Linked DNA regions of Drosophila melanogaster. The protein of the gene in region 1 interacts with the protein of each later gene in a pairwise test. Each region holds a gene or a part of one and is shown on either strand. Other genes may lie near its edges. The genes, in order: CG14086, CG34208, TMEM216 and CG3598.

Region 1 (6,429 bases):
GGACACCAAATTGGATCAATAAATTATAAAAAGCCTTTTTTAAATGGCTACAAAGTAATTAACTCTAACCATATCTAAAAGACATTAACTAACAAACAAACATTACAATAAATGTAAAATTTTGTTTTTGCAAATTACAACTTTTTTCATTGTGTACAGTGTAAGACCAATTGCAAGCATAGAAGACCTGGACAAACGACTCCAACTGCAGGAGGCGGTATCAAGGACGACCTTCAGAAGTATTTCGCTAGAATCCTCGAGCTGTTCCTTAAGGAAATTAACTTTTCAGAGTGTGGGGCATCTGTGAATTATGTCGTAGATGGCGGCGACAGTGGAGACTTTCCTTGGGGCGACGGCTGCCACTTTGGATGTCATTAACGCCGCATAATGCAAACAAGCCTGACGACAGACACCTTAGCAAATGCACAGGACAATAAGCGGAGGAGCTAAAAAAATATTTACTCGTGCTTCCCCTCTCCTGAATTTGGCCCCCATTTAATTTATGAGGATGAGGGCGGTGTAGCAACCGAAAATGTTTTTGTCCACATTCTGCGTACTCGTCCGCCTCTTGGCAATTGCTCAGCTTTGCTCCTGGTTGTCTTTTGAGCTTCTTTACACCTCCCGCCGCTCCGCTCACCATTCAGCCAGTTATGAAAATTACTGAAACGTGGCCAAAGACGGGTGCGGGGATCCACAGGACCTGCAGGACGAGGGCACGCACACACAGAGCCGCTTGAGCAGTGGCAACAACATGAGGCACTGGCTTCACACACAGGACAACGTGACAAATAAAATCAAGCTGGCTTTGAGCAGTGGGCCGAGAATCCTGTTTTAGGCTTAAAACTTCAATATTTGTAATAGTTAAAGATTATCTTTACACCTGGTAGAATATTTATCAAGTGCATATAAGTAAGATTTTCGTTGTGTAAAATCGTAGGTAAATTTCATACTTCCCTCTTCTTTTACATTTGGAAAAATCGTAATCAAGTAAGCATTCGGGTGGGAATATATTTAAATCACACACAATATTAAGCTCTCGCCCATGGTGCCTTCTTGTAAAAAACCGCAGGACTATAAAGACTGACCCAATGCGCTACGCTACACAATAAATCGCGAGAGGAAACACTTTTTACAAAAAAAAAGAGATAAAACATACAAACAGTTCTAATTAAAATACTGAAGACAAAAAGAAAATTAATTATTTATTTGAGTTCCTTAATTATATTAACAATGTAATTCAAAAATTGTATTCCTACTACAATACTAAAAAAAAACCAAGTTAAATAACTTCTGATTGAAATTAAAGCATTATTCTAGTTAAAAATCAGCCCTATATTCTTGCTTTCAATTAATATATTTCAAGAGCATAGTTTTAAAGAATTCTCATACTGCCAACGCCAAATAAGTTTTCAAATACAAATGATAGTGGATGTCAAAAACAGCTAACCAATTAAAAACATCTTTAAAACAACATGGATAAATTTTGCGGTCTCCATAAATCTCAGCATTAAATCGCAAAAACGCATTTAAAAAGAAATAAACACTACGCGTTCGTTCTCGTAACAAATCAACTTAGCAGTTTCGAATGCAGCGCCGCCCCATTGGCTGGTATTTGGCTACAAAGTCAGTGGCAGTAGGAAAAGCAATGGGAAAAGCAGCCTGAGCGGCGACTCTGGATCCTGACTCCGAAAATAGAAACGAATCCTGGCCGGTCCTTTCATTCAGTTTCATTCTGCTGGCGCCGCTGGAAGCGTGCGGACGTTCGTTGTTTAGAGCTCGGCCATAAAGTCGTGTGGCAAAGTGGCACTTGACAAAAATAAAAAAAGTTACAAACCTTCAACAACAATAAGAAAAATATTTAATAAAAAAAATATATATTATAGAGGGCACACAACGTGCGGGGGCAAAGTGCAAATGGTAACGGTAATTTGCAGACATTAGTTGCCACACACACACACACACACACACACAAGCAAACGGTGCGGTGATTAAAGGCAATGGAAGGAGAGGTGCGAAAAATGTCACATTACGAATACGCAGTGTGTGCCCGAGTTAAATGGTGAAATTTAAAAGCTGTGCGAGCTGGAATTGAAAATATTTATCGCAAAGTTGTTTGGCCACTTAGTATGCCAGGCACGTAGTGCATTTTTGTGATGTGGATACGGCTCTTTGATTGTTTTATTAGCGATTCCCTTGGACAGGACCTAAAACGTCAGTTTCGGATGAGAGTATTTAAAGTTATGGAGGATTAGAAAGTAGTACATTGAAAATTTGAATTTAACCAAAAACTAAAATTGTTCTAAAGTGAAATTAAAAACGAATAAATATATTAAATAAATTGGAAATTAAGTAAGTGGAGCTTACACATTAATCAAAAATTTAAATGCTATGGCTTCGACTTTTGTCATCAGTAATAACGAAGGAGAAGAAAAACTTGAGCTCCAATAAATAAGATATTAAGAATAAAGCCGCACTTTTGGCGATTCATAAAACAAATATAGATAGAAATTCATAAAGTAAATATCTATATATATATATATATAACCAAGTCAGCCATGAGCCAGATGCAACTGCAATCGCAGCGCGTTCGCCGCGCCCGTCATCATCGCCGCAATCAGTCCGCAGAGCCGTGCGAGTGCCTTCGTCCTGTGATAAGGGTTTTTGGTCTGCTGACTTCATTCGGTAAGCTCAAGTGCGCGGAAATCCGAGCCAGTGGAATAAGACTTGTCGGTGCCGGTGCCCAGGTGACCCCCGTTTCGAGATAATGCCAATCTCGATACGAGGCTATGATGCATGTGCATGTGCATGCATTTATGTATGAATGTGCAATGCTTTTCTGGCCCTTATTTGGAATGTTTACCCTTGACAAATCGTAGGAAATACTTGTGCATGGGAACCATTGCCTCGGGATATGTTGAGTGCTGTGGCTTATTATATTTCTTGGCACTGAATGGGATTCGCAAGACGAAGACGATGCTGAATGGGGACACGCTCTTATTGGCTGCTTTTATTGTTCCTTTCAATTCATATAATATTACTCTTTGAGCAATATTTTCATTGTACACAAAGGTTTTGCATTTGTTTGAGAAGACTGGCAAAATAAATGTACATAAAAGGAAATGGTTTTCCATATTCACAGAGCACATATAGCACAGAATATGTGCTCTAATGAACAGGATATTTGACCTAATGTAATTTGGTAAAATAAATAAATGCCATCCAATACTACTGAAATTCCAGTTTAGCTTAACAATTAAATAGAACACAGAGAGTAAATTGGTAGAAGATTAATTTCCCTTTTTTTGCGTCATTTAATTACAATTCAATTATGCTTTTTTTGTACAACCCAGCTTTGTGTTACATTTTTTCCGTTTAAATTGAGGCAATAATTTTAGATTGACAGCCTGAAATTTAATGGCATTTCGTTTGTCAATTTACGAAGTCAAATTTAATTTATTAAACAGGCAAGGTAAAGTGAAGCAAAAACTTAATAAATAATAATATTACCTTTCTGAAATGAATTCAGTTTGGTTGCACAACGTAACTTTTTCACCCTGTATCCGCATTCTAATCTACGAAAATGCAATCACATTTTTTCATCCCAATTTTTCTGCCATCTGGTGAAGTTATCAAAGTTGGCTTAAACGCTTATCGTGGCCAATCATAACGATTTTCCTCCACCATCTGACATTTTCCTAATGCGCTTAAGATAGTGCACCGCCGTTTTTTTATACAGAATTTGATAAATCGCCCAGCTGCAGGCAGGCCAACAAAAACTTCGGGTCAAGTTCAAACTAATTTCTTTGCAAATTGTTTTGGGGTCCATCATGGGTGCAGTGGCACGCAGGAAAACAAAGTATAAAATCTCTGTAGTTCATAAGCTCCGCATTATAGGGATCGGGTAAGAGGGATGGGGTTTTCCAAGGAAACTCTCTGGCAGAGCCATTAACAAGGCATTGGCCTCTATGCAGCTTGCAGCTTGCAGCTCACGACTGGCATCCTGTGCCAAGAGCAGAGTTTTCCCAGCCCGATTTTCCCCTTATCAGCAACTTTTCCATACGGTCGACAATGAGCTGTGTTGTTAGCCTTTAGGCGCCAGCCATTCGCCAAGTTTTCCTCTTGCCCGGCATCTATTTTTCCCCCACCGCTTTCAATTATCCAGATAATTTTTGCATGTTTTTTCGATTTCCGCTTTTTCAATTTTTATCTCCGTTGACAGCATTTAATGTAATTGGTTTGGTTTCGGTTCTGCAGTTGTGCTTAAATATGGGGCATACATATACATATATCTAACTGGCTAATCTGATTGGTTTTTCGCGACCCGGCATAATAAAAACAACTTAATTAGATTGTATTTTTATGGACCACTGGGCGTGGTGGCTCCATAACCACATCTAACCATATCTTATACACTCAAAGTGGATTTGGCTAAGACAAAATGTGAAGCGGAACCATAATGTGGTTAGAATATGAATGCCCTGCGGAGGGCTGTTCGACAAAAATATAGAAACCTTTTAAGTTATAAAATTTAAGTTCGTCATGAATATTGAAGTTTCTTCCAAGCTATTTATTATTAATTATCATTATGTTATTTCGTAATGTGTAGGACATTGCCTTCTTAAAATACTCTATTGCAAATGATGTAAGCTTCAGTAAAATTGCGATAAACTTCTTGAGCTCACCTCGTTTCCATTCATTGGTTTTGTATTACATTTTATGGCCAAAGCATGGTAAACAAAAAAGGCCCAGCTCAATAAATATGCTTATAAATATATTTGCCTAGACACACTCACATTATTTTATAGGCTCGTTCAAGGATAACACTCCTCGTTTCAACCCGCCAAAAAGGACCCCCCGCACCGAACCTTTCTTTAGCCATTTTTCATTTCAGTTATCTGCGGCGTTGGCGTTGATGTCTACATGCATGGCTATCGGGCCGGTCTTTATATAGTGTAAGTCACGGATCTAAATATCCCCCATAACTATACTAATTTCTGGTTAGTTTTTCAGCCGTGCTGGTAATGTTTATCGAGATCAAGTGGCTTGTGACTATCTTCCTGCAACTTCAGTGCGCAGAGTAAGAAAACTATTCAAGATTACCAAATAACATGTTCATAAATTATAGTTATTCGTATATATATTATTTGATAATTAGCAGTTATTATTTATGAAATATAGAAATTCTAGTTACCAAGCCTAGTAGTTGTAAAACTAATTAAACCCTAATTATACTATAATATGATATACTTTACTATTATATACAATACTCTATATCAAGTGCCTTTGCTCAGATTTTTCTCTGCAAATTTTTCTCTGTTCACATATTTGTGAATTCAATTTGTTTCAGGGATAATTACCAGCGAAGGTCCTGCAGCTGCTTGGCCTGCTGGCGACTTTCAGCGATTTGTGGCGGTTGGCGACCCACTCCTGTTTATGCGGTCATCGGCATCTGCCTGATCCTGTATCCCCACAATCTGTGGCTGAGTTATGTGGCCGGGATGTTCCTGATACTCCTCGGACTCCTCAGACTGTGCACGCTGCTCCGATTCAGCGCCTCGAAGGAGGAGGGTCTCCTGCCGCAGTGCGACTTTGAAAAGTGATGCCAGCCAACGAATGTCTTTGTTATTTGTTTCTAATGTCTGTTTGTTCTGCGATGATAGGGTGTCGAGCTTTGTGGATACCATGGAGGATGATTTCGCGGAGATTGGTGCCACGCAAGCGGGATTGGATGAGGAAGCGGAGGAGGAGGGCGACGACCACACCGCCCTAGACGACGATGTTTGCTAATAGTTTAAGCCAGCTTTTCTGCCTAATGTAATGTGAGATTTTAAACGACTTAACAAATGTCTAATAATATACAGTTTGTAAAGAGGTTTCGATTTAAACGCTGAGTGCGTGGTATATTTTTATAGGTAATCGATAAACCCACACTTTGTATGATTTTTGGTGTCATTTATAAACGAAGCCACTCAAAAGTCAAAAAGGACATTCTTCAAAAGAATTTTGAAAGTTCCTTTTAAGTATTGGGTATCTGCTTTTTACCTACAGAAATAATTATCAAAGCTATTTCGTTTTAAATAATGTTATTTTAATTTCGTCTTTTATTGTTTTTTGTGCTAAACGGATTTCTGCGTTCACTAAAGGCCAAAATGAAGGGCTGGTCGTCGAATTCTTCGGTTTTTCTCAGACCAAAAGAACGCTCATTGCCGTAATCATACTCGTCCTCATCATAGTAGTTATAGTAGTGCCTCTGGTGGCCTTTAGGGCCTCCATGTCCATGTGATGGAGGAGGAGGAGGTGGAGGATACGGATACGGTGGATATGAACCTCCGGGATATCCAGGAGGACCCTGAGGACCAGGTTGGCCAGGGATTCCAGGCATCCCGGGGTGGCCCTTATCTCCACGCGGCCCCTTCTCGCCGGGATCAC
Region 2 (2,784 bases), on another chromosome or scaffold:
CCAACAAACTGCATTAGTCTAATCAATCACATATATGTAATTCTAATTGTAATTGTAACTGTAAAGATAGCTCTAAACCGATTTAAAAGTGAGAGGCAGATTGCGTGACGGTAATATACTCACTGAATTACAAGCCGATTTGGGCACTGGAGATGCGATTGCAATTTAGATAAATTGAAATTATTTTGTAACCGAAACTATCGTAGCTAAGCAAATGGAAACGGAAACTATTGAATTAAATTTGATAAGCCGCAAGATGCGGCACTTTGTAAATTATGATAAGCCCTAAGCAACGTTCAATATCGCATGGTAATGGTAAAATCCGAAACAGAATCAAATATATGGTAAATACAAACGCACTCCCCAAAAAAAACCCTCGCACAACCAAAGAAAGTCAGTCAGCCTGCTTTATCCGCCAATCAATCAGTATCGAAGAATCCCCGAGAGCGTCAGGGTATCATTAAGCTGACCAATTTAACTGTAGACCTATGTCGAAGAAAACTATCGAATAAACCCATGATCAAAACTCTGTTGTAAACGAATGAGTCTTTATTGTGCACGGGAAGATGCCACTCGCTAGATGAGCAGCACCTCAACATATTGCATTTTCTCGACTCCAAAACATTTCACCTTCACCGTGAGTCGCTGTGCCTCCTGTGTCCTTTGTGGTTCGGTGCATCTTCGGGGAGATTTCGTGGGTTTTTCCATCTCCTCCAGCCGCTCGGATTGCTAGCGTCGATCGTTGTCGTTATCGTTTCGAGGACGTCGCGTTGTGTGCGGACGACCCTTGGGCTCCGGATTGGGTTCCGCTAGGGCTAAAGTGCCCAGACTGCCGATGAGTCCGAGGATGCCGAATACCAGGAACAAACTAAGCCACTTCATCTCGCGATCGCGATGTCGAGTTATTACCAGTTCAACACAAACTGCTGAACGATACGCCTGGAATCAAACGTTTTATGGCCTGGCGCCCAGAAGATCGGCGACGATCTGCATGCTAATGAGGGAAACTGCCGTCAACATCGTTTACCATTGCCAGTAGTTTATGTTCGCAGATCGGCCAGATAGCGCGGCAAATTGAGTTGTAAATCCAGCGCGAAAAATGGGCGGACATACATTTAGGTAATTAGCTCCATTGTAATGGGAACAATTGTTCCCATTACAATTGAATCGCAGTCACATCTTACTGTGGGACCCGTAATTAAAAACGAATGGGTTTTTGAACGATTGCGAATCGAAAATATATTTCTATCTATTTTTTGGGTAAGTATTTGAGAAATTTCGAGCTTCCCTACTTGTTCTTGAATACATTAGGTGCAATACCGAAGGCAAATTATTGCCATTTTTAGATCTAGGACAACCATATGCGATTGATTGGTACAAATTGATTACTTGGTAGAGTGACAAAACAATGCGAGTTTTCACGAAAGCAAACATTTGAATACACGGACAAATTGACTTCAAGAAACTATGCATACGATCGCCTCTGAAGGCTGGTAGTTACAATATAAAATAACCGAGCACTTATCAAAAGTGCATTCACGATGTTCCACTCATGTGGCAAACGAACTGCTAAAACTATAATTTACAAATATCACAATAAGTTGGCTTTTGGGAGGTCCAGTCAGAATCTCCATCTATCCGCGATGACCGGCGGACTCAGGCTCAAGTTTTGCTGGAAAACCTGGCAGAGCTCATTCATCTCCCGCTCCCTTTGCAACTCCTCGCGCACTTGATGCCACATGGACTCGAATCCATTGTCGTAGGATGCCATCGAGGCATCGCCCTCGCAGGAGCTGTCTTCAAAAATAAAGGAGTACTCCATCTGGTAGTCGCACATTTTCGGGTCTTCTTGTAGTTCAAAGCTGCAAGACAGAGAATTTCAAATTGTTAGCTATCGATTATGAAGTGCTGTCTTTTGGCGCCAGCTATCGATTCGGCGGGTTCTTATCAAACGAAAGACCAGTCCAGCTGATTTCATTTATATACAGAATGTCGCGGAAGAATGTCTTAGGTTTGATCAACACGATCGTGGCCAACTCGTAAGTAAAAATTGCGTTTTATAACTGATTTCAAGTGATTTAAATAAAGTATGGTCTTATAGCTGCAAGTGCCCCGCCCATTCGCATAACTATGGCTCAGCAGCTCCAACCGCCTCCCAAACGGGTCGCATGGAATACGCCTTCGAGGTAAGTGGCAAAACCTTGGACTTTGGAGCACCTCCAGATAGTAGATTCTCATCTTTAGACAGGTGGTCATACCCTGGACCAGATAATACTATCTCTATATTCTTAAGCATCCCAATAGAATTTATATTTTAGATCTTGTGAATACTTTTAACTTAAATTTTGTTCGGTATATAACAAATTCTAATTCAAATTTGGTCAAATGTATTGATAAACAGATGTCAGCCTCGACTGTTCGATTTGGACCGGGAGTAAGTGCCGAAGTGGGAGCCGATCTTCGCAACTTGGGAGCTCGGAAGGTTTGTTTGGTCACGGATAAAAATGTCGTGCAATTGCCCTCCGTGAAAGTGGCCTTGGATTCACTGGCTCGTAATGGCATCAACTACGAAGTCTATGATGAAACCCGGGTGGAGCCCACGGATGGGAGCATGTGGCATGCCGTGGAGTTTGCGCGCGGCAAGGAGTTCGATGCATTTCTGGCCATCGGAGGAGGATCTGCCATGGATACAGCCAAGGCAGCTAATCTTTTTAGCAGTGATGCAAATGCAGAGTTTTTGGATTATGTAAACTGCCCAATTGGCAGAGGCAAGGAGGTGAGGTC
Region 3 (7,210 bases), on another chromosome or scaffold:
TTCCAACTCTTGCGCTGGCAGCTGGCAATTTTCGGAGGTAGTGTGTCCCTTGGTGGGCACATCGGTCACCTGACTTCGGTTTAGGCTGCGCGAAGGAAGCCGCCGATAATTGACCAAGGAGTCGAATGTCTCCTCCTCCTCGTTGAGCTTCCACATGACGCGGCGACTGCTACTAGACATTGAACGTCCAAACCCCTCTTCTGGAGCAAAGAACACACATAGTTTTAACAACTTAAGGATGCCACACTCGGCTTGACTCACCCGACTTGTGGTTTTTATCCATGGAGATGGCTTGAGTTTTCCTCTGACAAATTAACTTCGCCACTGGCCTGCAGCAGTTCTGGTTTTGAATTTACAGAGCTTACAAATTTGGGAGGCCTGTCTGTGTGTAGCTGAATAATATCTGAAATTTTGGAGGCACAAAACGAAATACACCTATCATACTCGAAAAGATCTTATTGAACCCACGGCCTACTAATAACAGATTCCTTTTTCTTTTTTTCGATCTTTAATATTCATTTTCATCGAGTGTATATGTTCTTTTAAATATTGTTGTCGTTATTTTATTAACTATCCGTTTTACACGCGCTTTAAAAGTATGTTAACATTTTGCGTTTAACGAAATGACATAAATATTATACAGGTAAATTATTCAACGTAGGATGTGGCTTTGGTTTTCTTTCAGCTTCTAGCTTCCAGCTGTTTGGTTTCAGTAAAATTATTTCTTTTGTTTTAAAAGCATGAGATTTGTGGACTGTTGAGAGTTTTTGTTATCGATTTGTGCGTTATTTTGCTATGAAACCACACAAAGGTCTTATCAAATTATTACACAATCTTCGGTCTAGCTTAGAAAATGTTTGTGAACATTAGTGACTAGCATTGGAGGAGCTGCAATCCTCGGATCCTATCAGGCGGGGATAATTGAGCGTGATTTAAAGGGCGTTTCGAGTTGCCAATAGGCTGAATTGGGGAGAAGTGTAATGGAGGGTTTTCGCCTAGTTTTTAACACTCTATAAATGTTTTATATGATTTAGCTAATTTGTTGTTCGCTTTCTAGTAAACGGTTGCCCGCTCGGGTTTGCATTGTTTTTAGTGACGTCTTGAAAATGTTATTTACGCTATTTGCTAGGTTTATATAAAGTAGTTTCATTAAAGTACACACATGGTCTAGACTTTTAACTGGGCTTAATTATGTTGTTCTCCGCCTTTTGAATATTGGTATGAACTACTAAACGCTGACTCTTAGTGGTAATGAATTTTTTTAATGGCCTTTCGGCCATTTGTTTTTCATGATTTTGATGCTGACTAGATTTTGTGAGACATTCCACTGATTTTTTTACAATTCTTTTTAAGATTCGAGCTATCTGTGAACTATTATAAATTATTATTTCCACACATCAAATTTGTTTTTCGGCTGTTTTTCGATATTTTTCTTTTTACAAAAAAATTTTCATCTTAAAATTGTGAAAATTATTCAAGTTTTAGGTTTTGCTTGTTGTCTTATATTGGTTCCAATTGATGCTTAAATGTTAACAATTTTTGTATATAAAACCGTTAAATATATGTATATAAGAGTGTGTGTATGTTATCATAAACCTTACTATACATAATTATTAATATGCTACATATGTGTTTTGTTTTGTTTTTTTTTTCTTTCTGTTTGGTTTCTCTTCTCCACGGCCATGAGCAATTCAGCTGCCTACTGCTTTTCAAATTCATTAAATTTCCTTACACCGCATATTATCCTTTTTCGATCTTATAGATTGCTAAACTTTCGCATGTATATTTGCTGCTAGTTGGCTGTTGGATGTTTCTGTCTATATGGCTAATCATAAGTTACTGGACGACACAGCGAGAAAACGAAGACGATGGCATACCACACCTCGGTCAGGTAAAGGGCGATCTGCAGCGTGCACAGGCAGTACTCCAGGCGCAGTCGGTAGGTCTGGAGCAGCAGTAGATAGGAGACGCCCACAAAGCAGGGGGCGGTCATGAAGACCGACAGTATGGCCGACCAGCCTGTGATAGAAAAGCAGAAGAGTTCATTAGAATCTGATTGTAAAAGCCATAGATACTATTCTATTACAATTATAAATAAGGATGATAATGAGTTAATTAGTATTTCTTAAGTCTAATGGTTTGGTTTGATTAAACGATTGATAACGCCATTGAGGATGATTCTATTGTTTTAGAATATCCTATAATTAGACCAGCCAGCAGGCGGGAGCTTCTACCTCGATCGGCCAGCGAACTCATGCGCCCCATTATCAATCGGATCGTCTCAAAGACAATGAAGCTAATCATCACCCCCGTGTCCAGGGCTAGAGTATGTCCCGTGTAGCTGAGATTGATGGCCTTCAGGAGGCCCATGGCCATCTCGCAACAGGCGAACATGCCAAAGTAGAACGAGTTGAGGTAGATCAACACCTCGTAGTTCATGCTGGGATTTGGCTTCTTCGGCACGAGCGGTGGCGGACGCTTGGGCGGCATCTTTCTGCCGGCTTAGCACCTCCTTCTGCTGCTTCTCCTGTTACCCCTCGATGTCTACGGCAAATTGGACCGATTTGATCTCCCGGATCGCTCACACGGCGGCGTTGCTCACGTTGGGCACTGTATTTATAGACTGACCATAATAATAACGCGAACCTGCCGTGCTTGGCCAATGCAGCGGCAGCGGCATCGACATCGGCGGTCTCACGGTTTGTCGCTGCGAAATGTGCTGTTTATTTGAATAATGTGCTGCTGGTCGTTGTCGCCTTTTATTTGTTTTCTCTGCTCGCTGTTTGGGTCAGCATTGGCCGGCAGATCGCCTGCCTAGAAATGTGGGGGAGAATGATTTCACTGGCGGCTAGTTGGGGGGAAAAAACTACTAAAAACTCCCTGGGCGTTATGCTCTACAGGGCCCAGGGCCATTAAATGGTTACCTTGAAATTCAGGATAGGTTTAGGGTGAATATATGAAAACCATTGTTGGAATTTTAATTATTTTTAAAAACTCAAAGCGTTATGCCTCGCTAAAGTCCCGTGAATCTCTCTCCTGTGAATCGTACAGGGCATGTTCACTAGACCAAAGACCAAACGGAGAGCCCTCTCATCTTGGCCATTACAGTCAGGCTAACTTGCCCGCAGTGGGCCGTGTATATTACATTCAAATTAGAAGTGTACATTGCACCTAGGGGACAGCAGCGGTGTTGCACGAGCCGTGCAGTTCGCATATAATTTTAGACCATCAGAGCCGTATAAAAATACCAGAACCGAGCGGGTCCGAGGAGCAACTGCGCCAGCAGGGAGGCAACGCCACAAAGGCCGGGCAAAAGAATGCAACCAAGAAATGCAAATTAAATGCAGCTTTGCTTTTGATAGAATCGGACGCGTCGTGTTTCGCTGCGATGTGATTTCCGCGGGCGCGAATGATCTGTGCGGATTATATAAGTTTATAAAGGTTCACGTACCTTGTTGAAAGTCCTCCTCAACTGCCAGCCATTGGGTATGTTATCGGGTTGTCTTGGCACGGATTCCTAGGAGGTCTAGTAGGATCTAGATTTTTTGTTTTGTTTTTATGTGCGGTGGCTTAGTGTGCATTTAAGTGGCTTAGTTTTGAGGCCTTGGCGAATCGTTTGATGTGAAATTGCCAGAGGAAAGTGTTTCGTCTTCGTCGTAGTCGTCGCTCGGCTGTGGATGCTTCTACTCCTTCTCCTCCAGGTGGGAGTGTTAGTGCTGGCTTGGTCTTGATCTCGATCTTGGTCGTTGACGTGGCGGCGGCAACGCGGCTTATCAACTGCTAGGTGTATGTGACGGGGCGACACATTGTACAAATGAATATGCTGGCGTAGACTAGTTCAGCACCTTGTAGGGTGATCATTAAGGCACTCAGAATAATTTCGAGTTTGAGAACAAAGGTTTGAAAACAACACAAGTAGATAACAATAGCAAGACTGGGCAGTGTTAATATTACGGATGCGGTTGCTTGCCAGCCTGCAAAGAGAGAAAAACAAGGAAAATGTTAGCTACAGATGCACGGAAAATCGTATAGTTCGTCTACTTGTTTATAATTAAGTGTATTCGATTGAAAGTGATTCAGTGTTTTAAAGTATTATACTAATAATTTCATGTTTACACATTGCGATAATTAATATTAACAGCTCCAATTGCTTTTCCAATAACTCATTTCGATGATTCGCTTTGATAGATTTCCTTTGCATATTGCTTAATGTGCCAGAAGGGCGCCTTTCCCCTGCCACCATAAAACGCGTGTTTTCATCCGGGGTGATGACCATAATTACGCATACGCCGAGTGGGCTACATCATACATATATGTATGTATGCCCGTCCAAACGTTTATGGGTTATGGCCCCGGAGGTAGGGGGATGGCATGAAATGGGCATTGTGACCGGGCAAACAAATAATTTCGCCATGTCATCATCGCTGCCGGTGGACTTTTCCCACCCTTGCAGTAACATGGGGATCATGGGGATTACTCACCACGATCGCTTAGACTGCTCTTCCGCCCGAAGACAATGCGCACGGTCTCGATGATGCACAGTGAGAGCAGGATGCTGGCCTCCCGGGACAACGCGTTCTCGCCGTAGTTTAGATTAATCGCCTTAAGAACGCCCACGCCCACTTCGAAGGCGGCGTACATGCCAAAGTAGAACGAGTTCAGATACATAAGTATCTCATAGATGAGGCTGGCGTTCATGGTGCCCGCTACTGCGGAAACGAGTCCGTAACCGTTGCCGTATCCGTGTCCTCCTGCGTGGCGACCAGTTCCTCAAGGCGGCAGGTGCGTCGCCTCTAAATGATTGGATGTCACCTGGGCAGTTTGGAGCAGCTCCTCCCGCTTTTCCACTGGCAGCAGCAGGTGTTTCGGCTTCTCTACGCCAGCATTGGGACCTTTGGGCGGTACGTGGTGAGTGATACCTGCTGGACTGAAAAATATTTGCTAATTGCGGTCTGCTCGTATTTACCAATGCGCGCATACATACAGTCAAACTTCCTCAACTAGAACTTCATAAAATCAATCGAATTTATAGGTGGTTTTGCTGTGCCTATGTATCTACATATGTACATTGTATGCATTTATTTACTAGCATACCGTAACGGTAAATTCATTAAGCGACAATAGGGAGTACATATACATAAAGGTTTTAGGTTCTTAGAACCCATTTTCTTCATCACTAAAGGACACTTTTTATTGTAGTAGTAAAGTCGTATCTACTTATGGAAGTTTGACTGTATTTACGTATCGTCCTCACCTCTTCCACTGCTTTTTCTTCTTGTTCCCGTTCTACTTCGCCTTTCCTCTTCTTCTAGCTGCTCCACCGTTACTGTCTAAAGTCCCGTTGTCATGGGAGTAAGTGGATGTTATGTTATGTATATGAAATGCACGCAGGCGACAACTCTATGCTAATATTAAGTACATGCGTTCACGTTTATTTATACGCGTTGTTGTGCGTTGTTGTTGCCCGCTGGCCTGGCTGGTTGTTGTTGTTGTTGGTTTGTTGGCAAGAGACGAGGGGCTTATATAAAAAGGAAAGGAACCTCAAACGCACATGCACAAATGTGGCCATGGGCGAGTAACGGAGAAATTGCCGATTGCATTTGGAAAATGTGCGAGCCTGCGAGTTCCGGTCACACTGGAAATCACATATTATCCAATTGAGTTTTTCATTCGCTAAATATGTTAACATTTTCTAACAGCATCTTTTTACAAAGTACTCGTTTTTTTAACAAAATGGCTTTAAAATGGCTTTAAACATTGCAAAAATATTGTTATACAGAAAAAAGTTTATGTTCAATATATTAAAGCCCGCTAAGATCGTGCCATTAAAAACAGTACATTTGAGTTTACCGCCAAAGGTGCTGTTAACTGGACAGCTGATAACCAAATCGATAACTTTATGTTCGATACGTGCAGCGATAACAATAGTATTTAGAATCGAATCAGTTGTGGCATATCTATCTGAATTTATTGACCTATTTTGGTAAAATTGCTTAATTTACCTCAGGTTTTCTGGCTTTTCGCAATGCCGGCCGATCAAATTCAATACTCAGAGAAGTACTTCGACGACAACTTTGAATACAGGTACGTTCAACTTGCGTTTCAGCATCCGTGAACTGTTTGTTTACACACAAACCACTTTCCCTCCCTGCAGGCATGTTATCTTGCCACCGGATTTGGCCAAACATGTGCCGAAGGCTCATCTGATGACCGAGACGGAGTGGCGCAACCTGGGCGTGCAGCAGAGCCCCGGCTGGGTGCACTACATGGTCCACGCGCCGGAGCCGCATGTGATTCTATTCCGACGCAAACGCATTCCGGCAGAGGACGCTCCACAGGTGGCAGCCGCTAATGCGGCTCAGGCCATCGCGAATCTCTGCGGTTAGGCGGAGGATGCCATGCCGCCGAGGAATGCTCTTCCAAGGACGCACTCGTCAATGCTCACGTAGTATTTCATAAGTTAGCATCAGGCAGCCTGATGTAAAATAAGAAACCATAGCTTTAGGGTTCAGCTGGGAAGTTCAAAGACACGAAACGAACTGAAGACATCGTTTCTGTTAATTTCATTAAGTTTATTTACCTAAAATACAAATCGAAGCGTACGCCCTGTGTACAGACAGTTTAAAAGTAGTGTTTAACTAATTGACTAATTGTAGCAGCGCCATACCGCCGGCAGCAGGCGATACGTCCAACTCTCGTTGCTTAGGTTGCAGTTCTTTAGGGCGTAATGCTCCATGGCGTATAGTGAGATCAGCGTGGCATTTCCCAGGATCAGAGAGAACCACAGAAAGATGTTGCCCATCACTTTTGGAGCACTCCGCATTAGGAATACCAAGGCAACACCCACGACCCCAAAGAAGAAGAACATCACTGGGAAGAACATTTGCAGGGCAAAGCCGAGAACCTGCTCATGGACCACAGCGGAGATCATGAACACTGCCAGCGAGGCGGCCACCTTGGAACCTCGGAACACATGAGTGTACATATCCTTGTACACGTACTCGTACAGCCAGTCGTGCACGACGACATTCCAGTTTCTGTAGTAGCCATCGTAAGTGTGCGACGTCCACCAGTCCTTGTAGAACATTCGATCACCGAAGCGTAGCAGCTCCGACGTGAAGTTCAGCCACGAGTGCAGGATTAGGTAGAAGCCGCACAGAAAGATCACCGCGCTGGGCAGCATCATGCCGAACAGCTTGAGGATCAGCTG
Region 4 (3,164 bases), on another chromosome or scaffold:
AATAGTTTACTACGAAACTTTTACAGTTCTATAGAGATGTTCTCAAATGAGTTTCTCTACCATTGTTTGTATATATGTGTGTACCATCTGATTTTCGGATCCTTTATCATACAAAATTTGCAGTTATTAATTCATATATCATACTTTTGATAGCCTATGGGCATTAAGTGACTTATAACTAAGGTTGTGTCGAAGTTAAAGGATAAACTGGAATAAAGCTGAACCATGATACAAATAAACTCCATGATAAATGCAAATTTTTCTATCAATGGAGCTAAGCAGTGATCTATTTTGAGGCAAAGCAATCTTATGTATCTTATACACTGCTAGGAAATGGTACACCATATATGATAAATAAATAATAAAGTTATACAAGTAGTATACGATGTTTTACGGCAAAACCTTTAAAATAAGTTTCAACTTAATGATTCAAAACCATAGTCTTTGCATGTTGGTTAATTTCACATCATAATTTCACCACCCATAAAAAATACGAAAAAAAATATTTATAATTTTCATATCACATTTTATTTGTCGCATCGTCATCAAGTGTCTCAAATTTCTTGTCCTGATCGTTAGGGGATCTTAACTATAATACTATATAGAAATGGGGCTAGGACGACCTTCGTTTCGTGTCTCAACCCTGGAATACGACCTGTCCGCGGCGCCTCTGGTTGCCACGCCTACGGTTGCCGCCTTGGGGGCGAATGACGCGTACATTGCGCCTGCGGTTGCCACCCACTCGGCGACGCCTTTGGGCGGGGCGGCGGCGTCGGATATTGTTGTTGTTGATGCCGCGGCGGCGAATGTTCCTGCGTCCGTTGTTCTTGCGGCGACGAACTACCACGCGGTTGGCGCGCTCTTCCTCGATTTCATCAACGGATGAGGCGGATCGCTCCATAAGAGCCACCACCGCGCCATCGGGAATGGCGTCTAGGGCGGCACGAGGCACTAGGAGAGCCGCCTTGCCGGTCTTCTCGTCCAGAACACTCTGACCCTCGATCTCGATAATGCCATCGGGCACCATAATGGCACCAGCCTGATCCCGGTTAACCATCATCTGCTTCTTGGGCAGCTCATCCTGAACGTGATCCTGCTCCTGATCCTGATCATCGTCCTGTTCGTCATCAGCGTGGTTCTGCCTGTAAGCCAGACCGCTGCGGGCAAAGTTCAGGCCCAGCTGATGCTCCAGTTCCTCGTCATCCTCCGTCTCGTCATCGTGCTGGTCCTCATCATGTAGATCATCATCTTCCTCCTCGACAATTTCGAAGCCCTGGACGACGGCGCCGGCGTTGGCCCGACCCTTGGGAATTGACAGGAAGAGGTAGGGATGCTGCTGCGCCCTTTGACCCTGCACCTGATTGCGCCCCTGAACGTGCTGAAGGCGTGGCTCGGCCAAGGCCACGGCCACAAACAGGCACAAGCCCACCAACAAGATAGCACCCAGCTTGGACATCTTGTTTTTTTTTTTTTTTTTTGAAGATTTCTCGACGTAAAGTGCACAGAAATTAAAGATTTACTGCCGACCGGATCCTAATTGTAAGCAAGGCCCAAACAGAACTGTACGATCTGTGGCGGCGGCATTAGGTTTTTATGCGAAAAAGTTCTGGCCAAAAATCCAGAATCCATAATCTAGAACCCATAGAAACCGAGAAGAGAGAGCCCACTCAGGCCACAAGAACATTGGTCATAATTGCGGTCGATGTCGGCATAATTTCAAGTGGCGAAATTTTGTGGAAGAAATGTAGAAAATGGTGAAAAATAGAATTAGAAACGAATGTCAGTGACCCGCCGGTGGGACAAAAGAAAGAGCGCTGAATAAATCAGCAGCCGCCGAATCAAAAAGTCGAAGATCACCAAAAACACCAAAGGCCCAAAAAAAAAAAAAAGCGCCGCGGTCATGCTAATGACAAAACAATCAGAGACACGCACAAATCTCGGCATCCCAAGAGACCGAGAAACCCGAGAAGTCAAGGGCCGATCCGAACCTATGATGGACCTGCTCTCGGAGTCAGCGACGCATGCGAAGTGGTCGTATCCCATCCCCGGCCACCGGTCATATACCCAATGACCAATGTGAATATCGATGAAAGGGGTGTATGGTATAGGGGGCAAATGTGTATTCCAGCATCGCTGATTGATCGAGCCACGTTGGGATGGAATTATGCCTTTGTCCCGTGATTAATATGCCAGCCAAGAGGCTTCTTATGCGTGGAAATGGCCAATTGTACAGGTGAAAGACTGAAGGTTGGCCAATATTTCACATGCGAGCCCTCTGTAATTTTACTGTTTTCTTTAGTCGTGCAATAAATCTACAATTTTTGACACGGAATTTATTATTTCTTAATTAAACAATGTTGAAACTTGTTTAAAATCTTAGGCATACTGCAATATGACCAAATAGCAAGCATAGATATTAAAGTGTTTTTGTTTTCCAAGGGATTTCTCAGTTGAAAGTCAGAAAGTATGCTAATGTTTCTTTCGAAATTGATTAACAAACTTCACTTGATCTTCCAAATATTTGCTGTCATGCTGAATAGAATTCCTATAAATGTAATTTTTGTGTGATTTACTTTTTTATATGGTAGGGCTTAGAAAATATAAACATTTTGCAATTGCCTTCAGCACTTCAATTTAATTATTCACAATGCTTGGTCATAAAATTTAATTGTGAAGGTGATCAATTTTCAATCCGATGGCTTTGAACCAGCTGTTGGGTAGCAAATGGACAATGTCTCTACAGAGGCAGAGGAACTCGTAGCTAACCACTGAAATGGTGGCGGCCAGCGTGGAGATCCTGAGCCTTTTAATTTTCCAACTACTCCACTCCCGTCGTGCGAATCCCAAATTGAGGGCGAACCACTGACTGCACGAGAGGAGCACAAAGCCACACAAGCCCATCAATCGGTGGATGACGTGCAGAGCCAGGTGGGTGAAGCACACCAGGGCGAAACCACTGGCCACGGCCCCAGCGATAAGCAGGAATCCCAAAAGGCCACACAATCCATGTTTGGAATTAAAGTGCGGCTCATGTATCTTGCTCTTGAAGATACTCTTCGCGAATATCCCCACCAGTCCCAGCCAAAGTCCCACCATTCCCAATACCATGTGCAGAAGGTTGAGCCGGTTTTCGGAGATGAAGTCTCCTAACCACCAGGAGTGGC

Evidence for each region.
Region 2: the proteins of CG14086 (region 1) and CG34208 interact in a two-hybrid assay, tested with the Drosophila melanogaster proteins (one large-scale study listed by BioGRID).
Region 3: the proteins of CG14086 (region 1) and TMEM216 interact in a two-hybrid assay, tested with the Drosophila melanogaster proteins (one large-scale study listed by BioGRID).
Region 4: the proteins of CG14086 (region 1) and CG3598 interact in a two-hybrid assay, tested with the Drosophila melanogaster proteins (one large-scale study listed by BioGRID).

Annotation. Positions count from the first base shown.
Region 1 is NT_037436.4:19,274,038-19,280,466, forward strand, and holds CG14086 (uncharacterized protein), read left to right. Parts: upstream 1-1,753; 5' UTR 1,754-2,555; coding exon 2,556-2,682; intron 2,683-4,891; coding exon 4,892-4,952; intron 4,953-5,002; coding exon 5,003-5,077; intron 5,078-5,347; coding exon 5,348-5,596; intron 5,597-5,660; coding exon 5,661-5,787; 3' UTR 5,788-5,882; downstream 5,883-6,429. Other genes in the region: CG14089 (uncharacterized protein), read right to left, coding at 6,089-6,429.
Region 2 is NT_033778.4:22,331,250-22,334,033, reverse strand, and holds CG34208 (uncharacterized protein), read right to left. Parts: upstream 909-2,784; 5' UTR 883-908; coding exon 730-882; 3' UTR 529-729; downstream 1-528. Other genes in the region: pgc (polar granule component), read right to left, coding at 1,622-1,837; T3dh (type III alcohol dehydrogenase), read left to right, coding at 1,990-2,039, 2,102-2,186, 2,402-2,776.
Region 3 is NT_033777.3:8,714,613-8,721,822, reverse strand, and holds TMEM216 (transmembrane protein 216), read right to left. Parts: upstream 5,581-7,210; 5' UTR 5,255-5,580; intron 4,928-5,254; 5' UTR 4,699-4,927; coding exon 4,482-4,698; intron 3,975-4,481; coding exon 3,781-3,974; 3' UTR 3,452-3,780; exon of another isoform or gene 3,367-3,451; intron 2,626-3,366; exon of another isoform or gene 2,491-2,625; coding exon of another isoform or gene 2,235-2,490; intron 2,020-2,234; coding exon of another isoform or gene 1,826-2,019; 3' UTR 503-1,825; downstream 1-502. Other genes in the region: CG8136 (uncharacterized protein), read right to left, coding at 1-200, 262-283; CG11760 (uncharacterized protein), read right to left, coding at 1,826-2,019, 2,235-2,490; Cks85A (Cyclin-dependent kinase subunit 85A), read left to right, coding at 6,026-6,084, 6,155-6,386; CG8112 (uncharacterized protein), read right to left, coding at 6,647-7,210.
Region 4 is NC_004354.4:2,935,420-2,938,583, reverse strand, and holds CG3598 (uncharacterized protein), read right to left. Parts: upstream 1,558-3,164; 5' UTR 1,457-1,557; coding exon 638-1,456; 3' UTR 511-637; downstream 1-510. Other genes in the region: CG3592 (uncharacterized protein), read right to left, coding at 2,665-3,164.